4 linked regions of the Arabidopsis thaliana genome follow. The protein of the gene in region 2 interacts with the protein of the main gene of each other region in a pairwise test. Each region holds a gene or a part of one and is shown on either strand. Other genes may lie near its edges. The genes, in order: CUC2, AT5G23280, GRF4 and AT1G68360.

Region 1 (6,103 bases), about 14 Mb from region 2:
AATCGGTGTGGGCGTAATGACGTACAAAATCAGACATTTGTTTTTGGGGCAAAAAATCAGACATCTTTTAGAAAAGCAAGTAAAATTTAAATGTTGTAGTTATTGAAGCTGATAATAATAATAAAATATAGTAACTTTTGGTTTAAGATTTTTATTTTTTAAGTCAGGCCAGCTGAATTTTCTGCTTTTTTATATATACATAGTGTGATAAAATTAGTCAGTTCTTATCATCACTTAGCTGTTCTTTTGTGTAAATAGCTGGGTTTTTTCTTATATATATATATATATATATGTTGGTCAATGTTTTTTGAACCAATACCATTTGCCTTAGTTTGTTTTGTGATTGCAAATGTAACCAATGAAACCCAAAATAATAAGCATACAAATGTGTACATATATTCCTTTAGCTAAAACATCATGAAATTTTGCCATTTAGCAAGACGTATATGTGAGTCTGTGAATTTGTCTTATGACTAGGTAGTATAGGTTGGTGATGCAACAAGAGCAATAATTGATGATGGTAATGATGATGATGATGATGATGGTTGTGTTACACACATACATATATCATACTCCTACTAGTATACACACGTGAAATGAAAACACATATATAATGGTAATAAACAGAGGTATTATTAATTATGTCTCTTTCTAAAAATAGAAATGTGAAAGCCATCCTTCTGAAAGTGAGGTGGACTGTTGTACAAGATCTGAATTTGGGAGTGGTCCGTTCGTCAGCATGCGCATCATATTCATCATCCCCGTTTCAAAATCCTTAATTTCAAAACTACTTCTTTTCTTTGGTGGGTTTACAATGCATTAAGTTAATCAAAATTAGTATGTAAATTATTTTCAGTAACTACCATGTACATGCATGTTATCTTAATCAATTAAGCCAAACGCAAATTGTTGTGTTTAGTCTCATATGTGTACGATTGTAGCAAGAAGATACACCTAACTGAAAATGGTGTTCATAGACTGATTAATCCACTGAATTATGAGTACTTACTTTAAAAGCATGAAACTTTCTTGAAATATTTTGGCAGTTACACATGTCAACCTTAATTAGCTAGAATTAATAAACAAAAACTACATGCATGTTTTACATTTGAGCATCTTCAATTGATGAAGAAATTAAATAATTAGCCATGTTATGTAATTACGGAAATCATCTAACCGAAGATTCGGAACGGTTGAATTCCGGAAACATATATATAACCGCCATATCAAATTGTATTAACAAGAAGAAAACTAAGGTATCTAGAAGCGACCGAAGAAATTCATTTTGTCGGTAATATACTGTATGATTGTATTGATAACCAAGGACACATGTCAAATATCATGAGAAATATAAAACATGAAAAAGCCATGAAATTAACATAATGTCAAACATTACAAAAACGAGCATAGCTTATACATATGCACGTTCATAGTCTAGAAAACATTTTCCTTGCATATTACCTCCTAATTAACACAACCGGATAAACTTAAAACTAGAGAATTAAGCGGAACATCAAGCTAAGTGCAATATTAAGCTCCTCGGTACACACATTTCATAATACCATAATCATCCTAGAAATACATAAATAAAACCCTAACGGGAACAATTATAAGTCACCTCTTTTGTGATCAGTAGTTCCAAATACAGTCAAGTCCAGCATGAAGCACACCGACCTTTGACTCATTCTCTTCGGCAGTCGCCGGTAGCCAGTAATTCATCCCGGAGACGCCTCCGCCGCCTTGGAAAGAAGGCAGATTAACGGCGGAGGTCATAGTCGATGCAGAAGACGATCCAAAGTAAGGAAATTGATTGAAGTTTTCTTGGAACGATCTGAAGTTAGATTGAGTCGAGACGTTTCTAGAAACGAAACGAGGAAAAGGGTCAAAGTCAAACCCTAGCGGCGGTGGAAGACGGCTGAATGAGTTAACGTCTAAGCCCAAGGCCGTAGTAGTAGTAGGGACAGTGGAGAAACAGGACACGTGCTCGGTTATTGCGCTGGCTGTGACGGTTGTGTTGGTGCTACGGCTGTCGTAGGAGCAACTGCTGTCGGTGTAGCCGAGGGTAGTGGTCGGATCCAGGAGAGGTGGGAGTGAGACGGAGGAAGGAGAGCTTGGTTGTTCTTGATAGTTTCTTGAGATTGTTGAGGGTACTTTCGTCTTTTTAGATGGACCAGTACCGCTGCTTACGCTCACAGTTGCTCCTCCTCCTCCTCCTCCTTCGGAGACGGCTCCGGTGCTAGCTAAAGTGGTTTTCTGGAAAACCCTAGAGATCACCCATTCATCCTGAAGGAATAAATTAGAGTTTTGAAAAGTCAAATATTTTATATAATATATGTTTGATGAGAAAGTCAATGTTAGATCTTGGAAATAAAAGAGAGTGAAGATTAAGAAAAACCATAGAGTAAAAGCGTGCACAGAGGGAATGTACATTGGACACTACAAGTCTACAATGGATATGGAACACTAATTAAGTAAAATTAATTTAATTAAATTTCTTTTTAATATATCTAGGTCAGAAAAAAATCCTGAAGATTTGCATTGGTTCTGGTTTTTTGCATTAAGCTTTCCAAAAGTAGGATGTATTAATATTTTATTTTATCAGAGCTATTGAATGTTTTCTTACTTTAGGAAAACACCATTATGATTGAAATCCCAATACATAAAAACAGCAGATCTTTTCTATTTCATGTTCCATAATGCTCTCAGATAACCACAGTAAAGAACCATGCCTTTTCAGCCATCAAAATTAAATGCAATAAAGCAAAAGAGAAAAAAATCAACGTCACCGACTATGTCACACTCTCGAATTTTTTTTCCAAATAATAGATTGTAAATTTATTAATCAAAGAAAATTAAGGCTTTACTTTATCAACAAAATAACTAATGAAAGGTTAAATCGAAGTACCTTGGAGCTTCTTGAGATGAAATGGTAAGAGAATTTGCCTTCAAGACGATATTCATGCATAACCCAATTACTCTTCTCTCCTTTCGGAGCTCTTCCTTTGTAAAAGACAAGAGTCTTCTTCATCCCAACAAGTGCACAAGTCTTTGAACTAAAGATCTCTCTGTCTTTTCCGGTAGCTTTCCAGTAACCAGCCTCAGTTGCTCTGTTAGTTCTCAGTCCCGTCGGATACTTCCGGTCACGGAGGCTAAAGAAGTACCATTCTTTCTCTCCCATCTTAGCTCTCCCTAAGTAACATTGAGAGTAAAGATTTCAGAAACCTTAATTACAAAAGAACTACAAGTAAGTTAGTTTTGTATTTTCTTACCGGGAAGTTGCCAAGGCTCACACTTGTTGAGATCAACTTCTGCGATGGCACGGCTTGAGAAGCAACCGTCGAGGACTTTGCGGAGAAGGTAATGAGTGATGAGCTCTTCGTCCGTGGGATGAAACCTGAAACCCGGTGGAAGATATTGGCTGTCTCCGCCATGGTCGTAGTGGTAATACGGAATGTCCATTAAGAAGAAAGATCTAAAGCTTTTGTTTGAGAGAGAAAAAACCCTAAGGAGACTCAAATGTTTTGAAGAAGAAGATAAATAGGTTAATATAATGGATGGTTCTTGAGTAAGGGGCGTGGTAATAATGTGGATGGATATTATTTTTTGGTTTTATTAGTTTATTTTTTTTATACATTGGGATTTGGTAAATCTAAAACGGCGAAATAGAGGGAAGCTTTTTTTTTGGGGTAGTGAAAGTAAAATAATTATTAAAAGATTAAAAACCAGAAAGTCGTAGAGAAGATAATTATAAATTTAGTAATAATAAAAAGACAGGTACGTCTACTCTTTCATAGGAATCTGTGGTTTTCTCTGCCTTGTCTTGTAGTAAAGAGAGCAAAGCCAAAGCAGATTATTACATCACATTTTTGAGTTTATCGATATATTTTTTACATAACTCGAGATTGTTTTAAAATTACAAAATTAAAATTAATCATGAAGTGTCCGTATTTCTTTGAATTAAATTATTAAAGAAACGAGGAATGGGCTCTTGTTTCTATCTGAGTATGCGTGCGTGCATGAGAAAAAGTGCAGTGGTATTCTCTGTCAGTGATGAAAATAAAAGAGAGGATTCAGATTGTATCTTTTTTTTTATCTACGAACTTGAAATTTCTTTTTATTATTGTGTTTGGAAATTGGGATACATAATAATTTATTATACGTACAATGACTAATCGAAACAATAGTAGTATAGTGAGGGATACATTATTAGACATATACACTAGTTATTTGGAAAGTGAAGAGTTTCAATTTTTATTTTTAATAGAAAAATGGATATTATATCGATAAGGCTGTTTCAAATCTTGGAGTGTCAGCACAGTACATGATTAATTTATCAAAAACTTTGACAGAGACTTCGTTACTACACGCCACCACCTTCTACACCTTTCACCTCTCTTTTTTTTTTCCTTGATTTTCTTTTCGTTTTTGTTTCATCTTTTCCATTTTCCAATTTTTTACTCCTGTGATGGATTTTTAGTTACTTTTCATTGCTTCATATTCATTTGTAAGACTCAGCAAAAGAAAATTAAATTTCATTATTTTCAAGCAACGAGATTTATGATGTAAGATTGAAAAATAATTTAATCAAGAAGTTACAGGTTGCAAATCAGAGAAGATATTTATGCTGCCTGGTTTTGTAGTTTTCTTAATTACTATCTCAAGTCTGTTTTTTCTCCTTTTTTATATAAATTAATTATGGCTCATCAAATAACTAATTATCAATTATGTTGATTGTTACAGGTCCACCAAAATGACATGACTAAACGTAAATTTCACAATTGTTAATTTATTTCTGTTACTTCCAATATTTTGATTATTATCTCATACAAATTATTTATTTTAGTGGAACTTCAATTTTAGCCCTATTTGACATGACTTGTTTTTTAAAATTTCCCACCCAAAAATGTACTAAAGAATAAACTAAAGAATAAAAGACACACCCAAAAATGTAAAGACCTTAAGATCAAACTAAAAAGATAGTGAGTTGATCAATTTCTACTAATAAATTAACTACAGACTTATTGACTATTTTAACCGTATGAAAAAATTGTATAAACTTAAATCAAAATAACTCTCCCCTTCGAGTATTCATATCTACGGACTTATCATGTGTGTAACTATTAGTTAAAAAAAAGAAGATGTTATAAAGTATGCAAAGTAATAATTATACATTAAAAATCATTATCAGAGACATGCTAAGACTATTACACCTGCTACTACTGTTTAATAGTAGTATTTATTACTATCTAGAAATTGTAGGTCTATCTATACGTCTTTTTAGACATATCTGCATATGACAGTAACTAAATCTAATTAATAAGATCCTTTCCTGTCTTAATTACAGATAGTTGAAGTAAAAGATTATCACCAAGCTATGAACCGAAGCAATAACATTATATAATTGTAATTACTTGAATTTATGAAGTTTTGAATACATTCTAGTGTGCCAAAGTGTTAATTGTCTTAAACTGAAAACAATGGCCAAACAGATTACAATGTTGATATTGACCTTGCCAAATTTTAGAAATTTGCTTTACTTTATCTTAATTTAAACATATATTTTTCACGGTTAATTTGTTTGTTTGCTTAGCATTTTTTTCATAACGAGAAAAATATTCTTATGACTTTAAATATCTAATATCCGTACTTTTTCAAGGTTAAAATGCACACTCCCTACTTTCTATCACCTTCATTCCATTTATGCTATATTTTTGACACTTTAAATACCACATTTATCCCCTTTTGATTAATTAACACAATAGTAGAGTGTTTGATATTCTATATACATATCATCCTCTTTATTTTATTTTTCAATTTCTTTTCCAAATTGTTTATATTTTTCTATTGATCTGAAATTTATGGCTGCTTTCGAACACCAAAATGGATTTGTTTTTCTCTACAGAAAAACATATGTCCTACCATAAAATTCGTTGTTGTTTTATCAATCATTTATTACAAAACTTTTATTTATTTTCTAAAATGTTTGGTAATACCGCATATCATCTTTTTTTAATAACTGCAAAAAGCAAATGAACAAATGCCAATAATAAACTATTTGACGTAAGAGAACCCAATAAAATAAATAATGATAGCATTATAAATG
Region 2 (5,599 bases):
CTTCAAAGCTTTTAGCTGATCGATTCCCATCTTCTCCATCTCTCCTCTCGATGATGACGACGCCATTCTTCTCTCTCACAGTCGCGCCTTCGAGTTTGCGATGCGCTCAAACTCTTTCTTCAAAAGGTTAGAGACGAAGTGTGTGATGGCCCGTTAAGCGGAGTTCAGACTTCAGCGTTAGAGATGAAGTCATAAGGCCCATATTGGCCCATTTAAGCTGTTTCTAACATTTTCGAGGCCTTAAATGATTAAAGAAGAAAATAGTGTATGCTTTGATTCAAATAAAAATTAAAACAAAATTGAATCAAAAAACAATTTTTAATAGTTTACCTATATTTTGAAAAAATTTGAAACAAAAAAATATTTGCTTATAATTCAAACAATACTTAATTTGCTTATATTTTGTCATACTTATAAAAAAATGTAACCAAATGAAATAGTTAATTAGTTGCGTATTTTTACATTTGTAACTAAACAAATAACACATAAAATTAATATTCTTACATGTTTTGGGTCTTATATAGAATTAATATAGATCCCAAATTGATCACTGTAGAATCTGCAACTAGGAAAAAATGAACATGCTTTAACGTTTAAAAGAAACAACTAAAATTTATTTTATTTTTGCTATAAAATTGTTTTTATAGTCAGTTTTGAAAATCAAATTTTGATACTCTATGATAATGTTTAGTCATCAATTTTTTCTGAACCATAAAGTATTTGACAGTACATTTAATTTAACACGGCACAGAGCTAGTAGAGTGAGGTGAATGAGAGGCTATTTATTTATTTACATGTGTCGGTCCAAAATGCGAAATATGTATATGAAAAATAAAGACTCGTATATGAATTATTTGCCAGCCTATAGAAATTATTTTTCGGTAGAAAATAATTGGGACCATATCAATTATTGGTGTTGGGGTCATTTAGATGATTCGACAATAAAAGGTACGGATGTTTTATTGATACGAGTTGATTACAAAGATCCCCCACCTATAATTATTTGCATTACATTATATAGCTAAGTGTTAATTACTAAGACCTAATTAAGAAAGAAAAAACACCAACTTTTTGTTAAGATCTTTCCATTAATGGATTCTTATTTTAATGAGAAAATTTGTTTGATTCTTTTGATTGGTTAGTGTGACCTAAATAGTCTAAAGAAGCCTATCTAATCACTTTGACATTTATTCATCAGGTATTATCGTGATAAATAAATTATTGGTTAAATACATTACTCAGCAGATATATAGCTGTGAAAACCACAAACGAAATCATTGAATCTATGCTATTTGTACCTTAAATATACTTTGCATAAGAAATTATACTATATCAGGGGTTAAAATAAAATTTACTTTTTTGATAGTCCAAATTATTACAACAGTGAAAATGGTTTTTGCCAAAATTAAAACAACCATTTGAACTCATGTTCGAGTGTATCACCCACATTTTTTTAGATAGCTAATCTCAAACAAGAGAAGAGACAATTCTAACACCTTTAATCTTTCAAATTGTAACAGTTTCTAGAACAAAAATATAGACAATTAATTTAAAGATATCATGTCGCCATATAGTTTTAACAGTACTTAAATTTAATATTTCTCTGACTAACGTGACAAACCAAACTTCCAAAAGCACAGTACAAAGATTCATATGAAACAAAAAGGCAACAAAATTGAAGAATTCAGACACAACTGGTTTGTCTCTTTTTCTTACTAAATCCTCTGTTCAGTTCTTGCATTAAATCAAGACGCGAAACGCCAAAAATAAATAGCATCTCAAAATCCACAATTCATACATATATCCACTAAAAAAATAAGAGATTATTATGATTCTGTTCAAAAATCCATCATCCGGTTCGATTTCAACGAAACAATCACTATCACATAAAGCTTTTTGTGTATCAATAAATGCAGAGAAGGAAGGAACAATATGAATTCGAAACATTTATTAGAAATAAACGTGGTTAACAGCTTACGCAAATGCTTCACCACAATTGTTGTAACACATTACACAATTAGCAACAACAACAACAAACCATATTAAAACATTTAAATATATATCTGAAATTTTAATCGACGGCTCTGTTTCACCGGAAAAAAAAAACAGACACAAAAAAAAAAAGAGGAAAAGAAACCACCGTGGTTTCTGAAATTTTCCCTTTTTTCCTAAAAGTAATCTTGGATCCGATAAGAAATCGATCTCCCTCCAAAAAAACAACAGATTCTTAAACCCTAATTTAACCCTAATCAAAAACAACCGTCTTTAACTTACTTAAAGCTAACGAAAACTCTCAAATCACTTGCAGAGATTCTGAAACCAAATCAATCTCTAACAACACTAAAACACACACATAGAGAAACAATGACAACAATAGAGAAGAGAAGATAATAAATATATATACCAAATTTTGCCCTCAAACCTAAAAGGGCTTAAACCATTAACGTGGATCTTCCTCTCTTCGATCCGACCCGGGAGATCCACCGGATAAAGAAGCAAGCAAATTAAGATGACCCGGAAGATAATTCCCAACTCTAGCAGCAGAAGCTTCACCCATTGCAGCTTGTTGTTGCTGTTGCTGATGAACAAACAATGGTTGCTGATGATGATGTTGTTGTTGTAAAAACATCTCTTGTGGAGCTCCAGCAAAACTCCAAACTTGTCCAAAATCCGGCCTCGCCGGAACAGCCCAAAACCCAGCTGGTGTTGTCGTAAAGGTCTCATCTTTACCAACAGAACTATGATTATGACTATTATTACTATCCTCATCAGCTCTAACACGTTTCCCAAGTATAAACGGTGACGTACCACCAAGTAAAGAAGTGGGTTTATGATCTAAAGAAGTAGAATTGGTGGCTCCACGGATAGAGACAGAAGCAGTTGAGAAACTCGCTGGAGTTGTACCAGTTCCTGTTGCAGCTATAATAGAAGGCTCTGCTTGACGAAGTAACCATTCAATTGTTTGGCCATCTGACTTATGACCAAGCTCTCTCGTTAGCTGAAAAACACGAGCAGCACATATAATCGGCATACGGATTCTTCTCCCTCTTCCATCGACTTTGCTATGTCGATCTTTCGCCGGTGGTTTCTTCACAACGACTGATGGTTGTTGTTCGATTAAAGCTCCGTTTGATGAGATCATAAGACCATCGTTGTTATTGTTGTTGTTGTTGTTGTTGTTGTTAATAGACATGGTTTTCGATCTGGGTTTAGTGTTTTCTTTTTCTCACTTGGCTTGTGATTACTCTCTCTGTGAGAGAAGAGAAGAGAAGAAGCTAATGATTGAGAAGGAGGGAGCTGGTGGAGACAGGAAGGAGAAGCACATGGGTGTGGTGGGGTCCTTTTCACACAGCTCACCATCTCTGGTTTTTTTTCTCTTTTTTTTTTTGCTTTTTTGAGAGGACATTAGTTTTGTCCCGACGCGGTGGAGCTCACGCGCGTTATTACTCCGGTGAAGAAGAAGGTCGCGTGGGGACCAAACTCCGGCAGGAGAATTTAACACTAGGTAGGTGGGTCACTCCTCCGGCTGCTACGTGCATTTAAAGAGACATTTATCCTTTGCCACGTCATTATATACATTATTACTAACTTACTATAAGCTTGAATTTGGAAATTAACACGAAGATACTAATCTTATTTAAAATACATGAAACTAAATGTATTGAAGTTGGTCTCTCTGTCTAAAAAAGTTTTTTTTTGTTTTTAAATTTTTGGGACCAACCTAATGTGGTTATTAGATTTGGGCTAATGTGAACATTTGTTTTGTGATTACGTGAAAATTAATCTTTTTTAGAAAGCTGTTTCCATAAAACAATCGAAAAGATTGAAAAGGAGACAAATCAGTGAGGTAATTGATTGGTAAGTAGACTTTGACATCAAAACTTAATTGAGTTATAAAACAATCAAAATTTAATACTAGTGTTTGTTCTTTTTATTTATTTGTTTATAGTATATTGGTAATAATATTTGCCACCAGTTACTCTGCCGTAAATGCCAGTAGCCCAGTATCACGTGTTTTACGTGAAATGGCAAAAATCGAAACCCTTAAAAATTATTCAGAATTCTTTTGTCGACATCACAAAAGAAAGTTACCTGTAATTAGTTGAGTTTTGCCAACTAAAATACCCAAAGACATTTAAATTAATAGTACTATAAATTAAAAATATTATGGTTTTAATGTTATTAATTTATAGAGGTTTTACTGTATATAATATAAATATATATATAAAATAAATGTGTGTATAAAATAAAAAGAACGAACATTAATTTTAATAACTCCCATTTTGAGACTGACATTGAAAATAAGTGGATTAGTCCACTTGTCAGATACGCAAGATTTTCTTTATGTCGTTCGTCTCATCGCAACGAGATTTTCTTCACATATCGTGACAACAATTTATTTTATGACTTATGCTGAGTTATGCACCACCAAACGCTAATATTTGTTTTAATTATTTTCGTACTCGTACCCCCTAATTAAATGGATTTTCTTATCGTTAATTTTTAACATTCTTGTGAGCTAATGCAAAAAAATAAATGCAATCATGAGCGATATGGCATCATGTCGGCAGTTTTATAAAAAGATTGTGTACCTTGAACTTTTGATCCTTTTTTTTTTTAATCTAAAAGATTTCGGAATCCATTTTTTGTGTAACTATAAACTTGAAACCTAATCTGATACAAAATGTTGTGGAGTGAATAATAATACTAATTTATAAATCATGTGAATAGTATTCACTTGTAACAAAACAAAACAAAAAAGTAATTAATATTGGATAATGGATGATAACAATTGTTTGTTCGAGATTGACTTGATGGTTGATTTAGTTATGTTACAAACAAAAATAAATAACCAATTTAATTTCACTTCTAAGTTTTGGAAACAACTGATAAGATATGATATGGTAGATAAATTCAATAATTTAAAAATCGCTATCCAAATGAGAATGGGTCAAATTTGGGTTATTTTAAGTACAAATAGAGAGAGAGAGTTTTTTTTAATAATCTTGTGAAGTGTTAGAGAATTTTTAGTAGCCGGAAAATTATAATAATTTTAAATATTTTAACAATTCAAACGGATAATTTGGATACTCTTAATAATTACTCGACATGTATCTTTATCGTAAAAAATGATCATTTTAGTCTAAACAAAAAATTTATATTATTTTTAGTTCAAGAAGTTTCGAGTAATTTTAAGTACGGTCATAAATCCTCAAATTATGTACACTTGTTTATTATATCCTCATTTTTATTTTCTCACATTGGTCAGTATAAGCATTTTCTCAATAATAAGTTTTTAATCCTAACATATCCTTAAATCCCAAATAATCATCAACTAAAAATAAGCATCATCATCAACATCATCACCATCATCATTATTACTATATTTCCCCCAATATCTATGCTCTTTCCACACTTTCCCCATCTCCTCAATCGGAACACCTTTTGTCTCCGGCAACAAGAAGTAAATGAAAATGGTCATGATCAAGACCATACCCGCGAAGAAATAGAACAAACCAAACTTCATATGGCAAAGCATCGTCAAGAAGAATTGTCCAATGAAGAATGTAAAGAACATGTTCACCGAAACGTTTAACGA
Region 3 (6,454 bases), on a different chromosome or scaffold from region 2:
ATAAGCACATTAAGAAATTAGAGGTCTGCTAAGAGGTTTGCTTATTTCGGTTTTTGTTGGTGTACTGCTAAACGTAGAGTTTAAGAAGCCCATAAGAATCATTCCTAAAGGAATATACGAAGCCCATTAAGAAAATAATTAAGGCACGTGAGGCCTCGCGTGCTAGCGTGACTAGGCTTTTTATTTACGGCCCATCGTAAGTGAACGTAAATGGCATAGTGCGTAAACAGACGGTAACTTTTGGTCAAAAAGTGAAAAGAATATATTTGGTATCTCACATTACATAGTGAGACCCACAGTCTGTGCCCTCGTCGGAAACTAAAGAGAGAGCCTCCTCAGATTATGATTTCGTTGTCCGGCTCCATCTTTACTCCAGCTCGGCTCGGTTCGGATCAGCTCCCGTGATTTTCAAATCTATGTGAGTAGGTGGAGAGTTTGGGCCGGGCCCTCTTCTGATCTCATCTGGTCTTAATCTTAGCACGTGACCCAACCCTTGTCCACTGAATAATACTATATATTTTCTGTCATTTTATTTGGTTTTACGAAACAATTGGAACATGAGCAACATATAAAAATGTATGTAGTATGGTAATTTAAACTAATGCATTTACCATGTATAACCTAATAACCATGTAGGTTAAAGTTTAAACAAGATATATATAAAGTTAGTCTAGATAATCAACATTTGTTTGGTTGTTTTGTTACCATTAGTATTACTGCATCTGCATGTAATCTTTGTTCGTGTTCATGATTGAAAAAAGACATACAATATGTCATTACGTTCACACTTTGCTTTCAGTTTGTTTTCCTTCGATATCATTATCTTTGGTATATGACAAGTTCTGGCCCAAAATATTAGTGCACAGGATCCATTATTACTTTATTAGTTAAGACCCATCATTAGTGCACAAGATCCATTATACTATCAAGTATCAACAAAAAATATTTCTATTTTAGAGGCTAATATTTTGTTTAGGCCATTTGCGAAATATTTTTTCTATTCTAAAAAAAAAAACGTAAAATGTTTATTAAATTCAGTTGCCGCTTTATACTTGTTACAAAGATTTTTGTTTTTCAAAAAGGAAAATTTTACAAAGTCAAAAAGAACCTATGGTATATTTTGAAAACAAAGTTTATTTTGGGTGTTATGTTATGATATTCCTCTTCTTTTTTATTTGGTTCACAAGATTTACAGCAAATGAAGTGTACATAACATTGAACTGTACTTAAGGAATTGAGTTTTTCTTATATTTTTCTTAGTGCAAATATAAATGCCGCCGAAACTGGTGGGAATGAATGAAAAGAAAACTCAAGAAACTCTCTCAATAGTCATCATAGTCTTTGGTTGTGGCTCACTCCTACATGAAATATCGTTATCGTCCTTCTCATATTTATTACTTTATTTCCTCAAAACTACAAAATAATGCTATCGTTTTTTGTTTTGGCACCACCAAATAAAGATACTTTGAAAATCATAAATGTCTTTTGTATTATTCAGCCAAGTGAAGATATCAAATAAATGTTTCTAACTTCATTTTAACAAATGTTTCCAAGTTTACTTGGCCTTTTCTGGTAATAATATGATTCCCTCCTTTCGATGTGTTTAGATATGTACATATACTACTAGCTAGCCATGTCTTTTTAAGATAACACAAAGATAAATGTCCATTTCTACATTTATATAAGGAAGTTATAATTTTTTTTTAATAAATCAAACAAACACAGACGTTACATAATATTTTATGAGTAACAATAATATTGTAACAGATGAGAAAAGTAATGACGGTTACAAATTAAAAGACAAATATGGTTAAACCACTAAAATGGTAAAGTATTTGGAAAACTTACTAACCAAAGAGAGTAAATAGAGCTGAGATTGTATTGTAGCTCTCTGCAAATGGAGACTATTTAGTCAAAACCCAAATGATTAATCATGCTTAGAAGTTAGAATCTCATACATTTGTAACACAATCTCTGAGACAAATGACATCTGTAAGACAAAAATTGAAGGTTACTCTACATCACATTAAATGAATCCTTAATAAAAAAACATAATAACAATATCATAATAGGCATCTCTTTAACCTACTTAAGGAATATTAAAATGAGGTAAAAAAAGGAAGTGATATTTCCAAGGCAGTGAGACATAAACACTGCAGGTTACTATCTCTCCATCTGCATCTTGCAGTGCTTTCTCTCTTTGTTTTCTGACTTACATAATTTTTATATCACATAAAGTAACAATTTATTAAACCTATCAATCAAATATTATATACTAATTTTGTTTATCCTATCAACTGTCTTGTCTCATAGTCTAAACACTTTTCTCTAGCTCTCTCTAACAAAAGAGTGAAGAAGAAAAAGTTTTTTATTTTGGGTATTTACATGACAAGCCAAACAAATAAGACTTTTGTTGTGGTTGTCTTTGCTTATTAAGCCAGACTCTCTAAAAACAAAAGAAGTGAGGGTAAAAAAACTATCCCAAAAGCAACCAACACATTTCTCTGTCTGTCTCTCTTTCTCTCTCTCTCACTCACTCTCTCTTTGTTCCATGGACTTGCAACTGAAACAATGGAGAAGTCAGCAGCAGAATGAGTCAGAAGAACAAGGCTCTGCTGCAACTAAGATATCAAACTTTTTCTTTGATCAGATTCAGTCCCAAACTGCTACTTCTGCTGCTGCGGCTCCTCTTCCTCTCTTTGTCCCTGAACCCACTTCTTCCTCTTCTTTCTCTTGCTTCTCTCCTGACTCTTCTAATTCTTCTTCTTCTTCCAGGTTCCTCAGTAAGTTGTTTTAAAAGGACAAGACTTATTCACTCTAATGTTGAAGTTGTTTTTGCTGATATTTAATCTGACGTTTCTATGTTACATATATATGTAGAGATGGGAAACTTCTTCAGCTGGGCACAGTGGCAAGAACTTGAGCTACAAGCACTGATCTATAGATACATGTTGGCTGGTGCTTCTGTTCCTCAAGAGCTTCTCTTACCTATTAAGAAAAGTCTCCTCCATCAATCTCCTATGCATTTCCTTCACCATCCTCTTCAACATAGTTTTCCTCATCACCAACCTTCTTGTCAGTCTCTCTCTCCTCTCTATTGTTTATGCTTCTCTTATCCTTGAAATAGTCTTTCTTTGTAAAAAAGATTCCCTTTGTTTTGGTGTTGGAGTTATATTTCCAAGATCTAAAATAAGTATAAGGCTGCTCTGCAACCTTGCAAGGAGTTAAAACCCTATGTGTATGATAAGCCTATTTCTAGAAGATCTATTAGCAACATAGATAGAATCAGACAAGTACATTTCGTAACCAATGTCTTGAGTGAGATTTATGTTTGTTGTTACTAATGAACAACACACACTTAATAAAAAACAGGGTATTGGGGAAGAGGAGCAATGGATCCTGAGCCAGGGAGGTGTAAGAGAACTGACGGCAAGAAATGGAGATGTTCAAGGGATGTTGTAGCGGGCCACAAGTATTGTGACCGCCACATTCACCGTGGAAGAAACCGTTCAAGAAAGCCTGTGGAAACCGCCACAACCACCATCACAACGACAGCCACAACAACCGCATCTTCTTTTGTCTTAGGTGAGGAGCTTGGTCATGGACCAAACAACAACCACTTCTTCTCCTCTGGTTCATCTCAACCTCTCCACCTTAGTCATCAACAAAGGTACAATAAAAAAACACAAACACTCTGTTTAATTAAAGTCATTAGTAGATTTGGTTAATTACAAATATTGTTGTTAGGGAAATAGTGATTTCACTGTGAAGTAATGCTGTGAAGAAAGGGGTAATGTTGGCAATAGGGTGACAAGAGAGACTTATCATACATACTTTGTGATAAAAACATTATTCTTTCTTTTGTTGAGAGATAATGATAACAGTTGGATTTGATAGAATCTAATTTTATTTACTAGTTGGGTGAGACTTTTCAATCATAGAAATAGAAAAGAGAGAGAAAGTTAAAGAGATATGTATACTTATGTTGTATTTGAAATAATGACATGGTAGGACCTCAGTGAAAGCTGACCAAACCTGCATAGAAGCCAAACAAAATAAAGCTCTCAGATTCTGCAACCACTTCCTCTTATTAACACACACATTTGACTGATTAAATTATTTCTCTAACCATTTTGTTGAATTGATCAGTCTACTTATTATTGTTCAAATGTTGGATCTTTTTGTTGACAATGTTTATGTTTATGTTTATTCCTCTCTGTCACAGTTGTTCTTCAGAGATGAAACAAGAAAGCAACAACAACAAGAGGCCATATGAAGCTAACAGTGGATTCAGCAATGGAAGATCAGACGATGGTCACATCTTGAGGCATTTCTTTGACGATTGGCCACGATCATCAGACTCTACCTCCAGTCCAATGAGCTCATCCACTTGTCATCTTTCAATCTCCATGCCCGGTAACAACACGTCCTCAGATGTTTCTCTAAAACTTTCCACAGGCAATGAAGAAGAAGAAGAGAACATGAGAAATAACAACAATGAGAGGGAGCAAATGAATTGGTGGAGCAATGGAGGGAATCACCACAACAATATGGGAGGACCATTAGCTGAGGCTTTGAGGTCAGCTTCTTCGACGTCAAGTGTTCTTCATCAGATGGGAATCTCTACTCAAGTTTTTCATTAAAGAAAAGTGTTTGTAATCTTTTTGGTTTGTGCTCTTTGAATCTTTATTTTCTGCAGAAAATAATCTTTGAATTTGTCTTCTTTTGGAATTGTGAGTTCTGCTTTTGGAATTGTTTTGTTCCTTACTCTGCTATTATATTTATGTTTAAAGCTTGACAATTTTGTATAAGCAATGAAACTAATATGATCCTCTGCCTGCAAGTAAGTACAGGAGAGGTGGTTACTTGAGCTTTTCACTTAAGCTAAACCGAATCAATTTTGGGAAACCAGTTAAACCACCTCGAATTAACCGGTTCCCGGTATAATGTAAAACCAAAACCCTGATAATCACCGGCATCGTATAGATTGATTAGACGGTGAAGTCTCGAACTTAACCGGAATAAACCTTTTCCGGTCCATCTCTAATTCACAATCTTGGGGTTTGTGCTTGCTTGCTTCAATCGCGAAGACATTTAGCAGAACCATTTGTCGTTTCCTCTCGCCAGATTCCGTGCTCCGGAGCCAGAAAGTTTCCGCCTTTAAAGTACGTCAAGATTTAAACTTTCTGATTAATTTCTAAAACCCTTTTTCGAAATGTTTGTTTGATGGTCTGATTAAAGTTTTTTTTGTACAATAATTCTCAAATTTATGCAATTGATATGTGAATTTTTAGTCTTGATTTGAACAAGTGTTTTGGAAGTTTGATTCACTTACTTTTGATCAGGAAATGAAGTATGTGAAGCCATTGAGCTTATTGGGTAATGCGCTGAAGACCAAAGTGTCAGTCCCTGGTCGGTTTCTGGGTTTAGATGTTGGTGATAAGTATGTTGGATTAGCTATCTCAGATCCTTCAAATATGGTTGCTTCTCCATTGAGGTACCTTTGATTCAGTGTCTACATGCTACAACATTTGTTTAACAGTAATTTTCAAAAATGCAAATCCTCTCTGATCAATTTTGTCACCATCATCGCTATTGAAAACCTGTTACTTCTCTTGCAGTGTTTTGCTCAGAAAGAAATCAAACATTGACCTGATGGCTACAGATTTCCAGAACCTGGTAGGTGCTATAAGTTTGATCGTTCCTTTACTTTTTAGCTCTAGATTTAAAGGAGACCTTAAACAAATACACAGATTTTAGTTCTTGTTAAGAAATGGAGAAACTATCATTTCTTAGTGTTTTTTAAAACAAAGAAAAAAGGTTGCTAGTGTAGATTAGTGTTTACTAAGATAAGGAATGAAGAAACTATCGTTTGTTTTGGTAATGAAGAAGAAAGTTTGTTAGTGTAGTAGATTAGTGTCTACTTTCACCCTCGGCTTTTTGTGATTACTGCCTTACTGGTGATTAAAGGATCAAGGTTTATTCAGTTAGTGTTTACTGTTAAGTCCTTGACGTAGTAGAGATCTATCAACAAGTAGACTTATGAACTCTGTTTGATTACATCAATCATTTGCCTTTTGTTGTCTTATGCAGGTCAAAGCATTTTCTGTGTCGGGATTAGTCGTTGGTTATCCATTTGGCAAACTGAACAATGTAGAGGATGTAAGTTTTTTTTTTTGTTTCGACTGAATTGTGAAGTACTTTTCCTCTACATTAGCTCATATAACCGAAAAGGATTTTTAAACTTGGAACAGGTTGTCACTGTGAATCTTTTCATTGAGGAACTTCGTAAGACCGAAAAACTCAAGGATGTGAAATACACATATTGGGACGAGCGATTATCATCAAAGGTATATATTTTTCAGATTTAAAGATCTTGTAAGTCACAGTAAAGATAGGTGTTAAGTTTAATATCCCTTGAATCTCATGTAATACTGTCAACAGACCGTTGAAC
Region 4 (4,726 bases), on a different chromosome or scaffold from region 2:
CACAATAAACCAAAAAAAAAGTTTCTAACCAAGCAATGTTCAAAACTACTTTCTAAACTTATAAGTATATAAATACTCAACTGCTCCAATTCCCATCACACCTTACTATAAACACACATAGACACATACATATGTGCCAATTGCATTGTTAAGTATCTAAAAAACAAATATGCTTTAGGTCATGTATATTTTATTTGCTCATGGTGACTAGGATCCCATTTCATGTTGAAACACGAAATGCGCTGGTATACCTATACCCCCTACATATTAGTATACGATTGTTAATTAAATTAATTTTATAATTTCAAATTCGGGGACCCGAGGATTCTTCCTAGCTTGTGACATGTAGTATTTTCTAAATGTTGAGGTAAGCTATTTTATTATTAAAAATTGTTCTTCTTTTGGTATTACATATCCACATTCGTTAGAAAATATATGTTTTAAGAATAAACAAAATGTTAGCATAGTGTAAGATACCTCCATTATATAAGTACCTGTATGCCTTAATTATGAGATATATAGGAGCCTAGTGATATTTAAAGTCGAAGAAAACGTATCACGTTGTCACAATCATTTAAAAAATTGTATTTTCGACCCGGGTTTGTATATGCATGTAGATTGCACATACCAAAACTCTATCTCTATGTATGTTGACATCTCTCTTTATAGCCGTTGCTAGTGGTTACATGTATGCTCCTAAAGGGAATAATTAACTGAAGATTTGAGAGTATTTGACTTTGAAAACCTGGAGTTGAATCATATTGACCAAAAGATTATAGTGGTCCTACAATCCCTAAATATGAGAAAATTTTAATTATAACCAAATTGTGTTAGAGAAGTAATTTTAATTCTAACCAAATTGGGTAATCTACTAAATTTAATTCTAACAAAACTGTGTAATCGACTAACAAGACCATAGACCAAAACTCACTAAAGCTGTACATAATTACTACGATGCTAATTGTAGATTAACTTTTTCCATTGTTGTAAAACAGAGGCCTACCAACAATTTTCGAATCTAAAGTAATAATTTTCTATACTTTGGTTCTAAAAACCAATATGTCAAAACTGTGAGAATTCCAAAAGTAATTTGTGCATAGACTTCAGAACAGCTTTTGTCCAAAAAAAAAAGGACTTCAGAACAGATTTGAAGGCGTATCAATTTCAAACGCAATCCGAAAAAGGTTGCAGCGTGTCCCTTTTGACTAATTTTAAGCACAATTTTGAAGCAAATTTGTGAGTAAAGGTGTAGAGTTTTCATACTCATCTTTGCATTCTATTGGCCTGACAATAAAAAGGCTTTGAAAAACGATTGATCTAATGGATCTGAATATTGGAATTATTATTTTGTATGTGTTTAAACATACATTCTATAAAATCACTTTCAGTGCACCTGACAACTTATCTCCTAACGTTTATTTTTATATTTTTAGTCTTTGGTCCTATTGTTTATATTTTTTTCTTGGAGTCTCAACAAATATTACCTTCTGGAATGTTTTTTCATGAATTGGTTAAGCATTTTGAGACTCTACTTTTTGTGGTAGTAAAGCATAATTGGAGTCTAAACTAGTAAAATATTTATTAGGCAAACAATCACTGGAATTTAAAGTCATTAATTAAAAATACTGATAGAGAAAAAAAAAATCACTAAAAATAAATAAATTAATTAAAATGTTGATAAATATACAAGAGCTTTAAAAAACACGTCAATGACCAGCAGGTGCAAGACTGAGATGCAAATCCAACCCTAAACCATCATCAAAAGTAGTTCCTACTTCTCTTGAAAACCCATTAACCGATGGTCTCGGCCCATGGGCCTGAACATGTCTCATCTGAGCCCCAACTACTCCAAACCCTGAATCACGAGCCCCATACTCGTACGAGAACCCACCAGCACCCGCACCACCCGAACCATCTTGGATGACGCAGCCATGAGACACGTGAAGTTGAGATGGAGAAACACGTGGAAGATACATCCAAGGACCTCCCATAGGCTGAGGCACGGCGGATGATGATAAAAGATGAGGCGGAGGAGCAAAAGCAGAGACTATAGGATTCCTTAAAAACTGAGACGCTGATCCAGCGTTTGAGAAATTTGCGGCTGCGTTTCGTGTAGCTTGAAGCTGAGCACGTTTAAGCTGTTGACGCTCTTTCTTGTGAGCGTTTTGGTGACCACCTAAGGCTTGTGAGTTACCAAACTCTCTACAACAATACTGACACTCATACTTACGTTCTCCTCCTCCTCCTCCTCCGCCTCGGCTTCGTACACCACCGCCACTTCTTCCGGAAGATCCTGCCGGAAACTCGCCACGTTCCGGTGATACAGAAGATAGGTTAGTTTTGACTGATTGATCGGAGAAATCTTCTTCTCCATCAACACTAAATCCAAATAGCTTTAGACGAGAAGTTGTTGTTTTTGAACTAAAATCCAGCTCCTCCATTAAATATGTATGTCTTTAGAGAGAGAGAGAGAATTAGAAAGAAAGAAAGAGATATGTTGAATAAGGCTTATAATAAGAGGAGGTTGATGAGTGAGGGCATATATTTATATAAACTGAGATGTGACTTTGTACAGTAACATGGGAGACACTGTGCAAGTGTGTGTTGTGTGAAAGATATGAGAGATTGTTGTGTGATTAACTTTGGTTTTTGTTTTCTACGTATTTGTTTTATTTTTCGGACATCCCAAGAAGAAAGAAAAAGAACAGTGAAAGTGGGAGTTTGAGGAACACACGAACCGAGACGACATGGATAATGGGACCCTATTGGATTTCATTTGTCTCCTTTTTTTTCATGTGAAAGGAAGTTTCAGTTTGGCTCTACTTTTATGTGTTTATTCTTACTAGTTCTCTTCGGGAAAATTCATATGTTTCCACCTACTTTTTAATGTGATTCTGAAGCAAAAAATAATAATTACGACATACTTGTTTTAAAAAAATTACAAATCTTTTTTTAAAAATAAATTTCTAAATGATTAATAAAAAAAAGTAAAAAACCATTGATTTGATGCGTTCTATGCGTTTCATGTAAATTATGTTATTTACGAACTTGATTTTGCTATTTATTTTGAAATTAAAAATAAGTGAAAGAAGTTTTTAAATGTAACTATGAGAGATTTAATTTACCACAAAAAATTTGTATAGACTAATTTGTTTTGGTATATTTTTTTATTGTTTTGCAAACTTTTTGAACATATTTTTCTACGATGCAAATATATTCTCAGCAACATACTAAGTTCGGAGATTTGTTAATGGCAAATGTTTTAGTAGATTTAATTTCATGGAGGTACACCTAATGTTTAAGACACTAGCGCTCCTTAATCTAATTTAAGATTCACAAATTCTTAAAAAAACTCTTTATATCCCACAAAAAAAAACTTGATTTTTCTACGATGCAATCGCCTAAATCTCAAAACAACTCATCCATAATAAACATATTGAATTATATATCAAACTAGTCCTAGATATAAAGTACTCATTTTCCTCCTAGAACTCTGACTTCTTTCCAATTTTGTTTATCAATTCCAACTAAAACGTCGGAAACATAAGTTTATGTTCTTGTTCACATAAGCTAATATGACCATGATAGTGTGTTAGTTTGTTGCGCTCTCATAATGAAACGAAAGGAACAAACATTCACAAGATATTGTAACGGGTCTTTCTTGATTCTTTAACATCTGACGTTTTCTCAGAATAAAACAAATATATATAATCTGAATTTCTTTTATAAATAAATTTGATCCGGACAGTTGGTAATCTAATCTAGAGCAGTCAATAATTTTTAGGATATTTTGTTTGTTAGCTAAGAATGTATTGTCGTCTGTAGACTAAGTCATTTTATATTAACCTACAAATACAATGAGAGAGTTTCTAAAGCTACTCAAGAAAGTCCCGTGATACCTAGACCTAAGTTGGAATAACATCCAATTTGTATAATTATTGTAACTTCCAAATTTCAATACCATATGTAAGTCGAGAGACCATAAACATTTTAACTTATACATTATTCCTCCTTTTGTCTTGATATTCCATCTCTCTAGTTACCTATTGTCTTGATATTCCATCTCTTTAGTTACCTATTGTTCCTCTTTTTTTAATTCTTGATTCCATATCTCGACTTGGTTTGTAACCCAGATGATGATTTGAAAGTGACTTACTTACAGAATTTGTAATCCAAAGTTTATAGTTGATGTTTTAGAGGGGAGAGTCCCCACGAAATGTACCGATTGTTATACCGAAAACTCGTTAAATCTTAAGTATTTTTAATGTTTTACTCTCATGCAATTGACCATAAAATTTAAGTATTTATCAAGTTAATCACTTACAAAGTCGTTTAATCAACAATTTTTTTTTATTTATTTTTTGTAGTTGGCTAAATTAAATTAATATATATATGTAGAAAACTAATTAAAAACTTTTTCTAAAACCATCCAAAAATTTAGAACAACAGTTATGTTTTTTAAATTAGTATTTTCATATTTTACTTAAAATTTCACCCAAAATATGTATTAGTACAAAGTAAAAAGATGCCGACAGACGGAAAGTGATTAGTAAAGTCAAGATAGAGTAGATGCAAACAAATGTTATCACAAACATAAAATTGCTTCGTTAATTGAAAGAGAAAGAAAAAAAGACAAATCATAATGTGGGATGTGATCTGAAGTGACCCAGAAGCCAAAAAGTTTGAAATGTGTGACAAAGAAACATGAGAATCTAATTGAAGATGT

The links.
Region 1: the proteins of AT5G23280 (region 2) and CUC2 interact in a two-hybrid assay, tested with the Arabidopsis thaliana proteins (one large-scale study listed by BioGRID).
Region 3: the proteins of AT5G23280 (region 2) and GRF4 interact in a two-hybrid assay, tested with the Arabidopsis thaliana proteins (one large-scale study listed by BioGRID).
Region 4: the proteins of AT5G23280 (region 2) and AT1G68360 interact in a two-hybrid assay, tested with the Arabidopsis thaliana proteins (one large-scale study listed by BioGRID).

What each region holds. Positions count from the first base shown.
Region 1 is NC_003076.8:21,900,337-21,906,439, forward strand, and holds CUC2 (NAC (No Apical Meristem) domain transcriptional regulator superfamily protein), read right to left. Parts: upstream 3,519-6,103; 5' UTR 3,460-3,518; coding exon 3,270-3,459; intron 3,190-3,269; coding exon 2,906-3,189; intron 2,284-2,905; coding exon 1,630-2,283; 3' UTR 1,368-1,629; downstream 1-1,367.
Region 2 is NC_003076.8:7,840,611-7,846,209, reverse strand, and holds AT5G23280 (TCP family transcription factor), read right to left. Parts: upstream 3,604-5,599; 5' UTR 3,194-3,603; coding exon 2,441-3,193; 3' UTR 1,561-2,440; downstream 1-1,560. Other genes in the region: PFD5 (prefoldin 5), read right to left, coding at 1-66; STP11 (sugar transporter 11), read right to left, coding at 5,336-5,599.
Region 3 is NC_003074.8:19,614,366-19,620,819, reverse strand, and holds GRF4 (growth-regulating factor 4), read left to right. Parts: upstream 1-2,312; 5' UTR 2,313-2,551; coding exon 2,552-2,783; intron 2,784-2,880; coding exon 2,881-3,075; intron 3,076-3,372; coding exon 3,373-3,670; intron 3,671-4,225; coding exon 4,226-4,643; 3' UTR 4,644-4,843; downstream 4,844-6,454. Other genes in the region: AT3G52905 (Polynucleotidyl transferase, ribonuclease H-like superfamily protein), read left to right, coding at 5,349-5,497, 5,622-5,679, 6,094-6,162, 6,255-6,350, 6,445-6,454. UniProt on the Arabidopsis thaliana protein: Transcription activator that plays a role in the regulation of cell expansion in leaf and cotyledons tissues.
Region 4 is NC_003070.9:25,619,972-25,624,697, forward strand, and holds AT1G68360 (C2H2 and C2HC zinc fingers superfamily protein), read right to left. Parts: upstream 2,623-4,726; 5' UTR 2,442-2,622; coding exon 1,707-2,441; 3' UTR 1,562-1,706; downstream 1-1,561. UniProt on the Arabidopsis thaliana protein: Probable transcription factor required for the initiation of inflorescence trichomes in response to gibberellin and cytokinin. Acts upstream of GIS, GIS2, ZFP8, and the trichome initiation factors GL1 and GL3.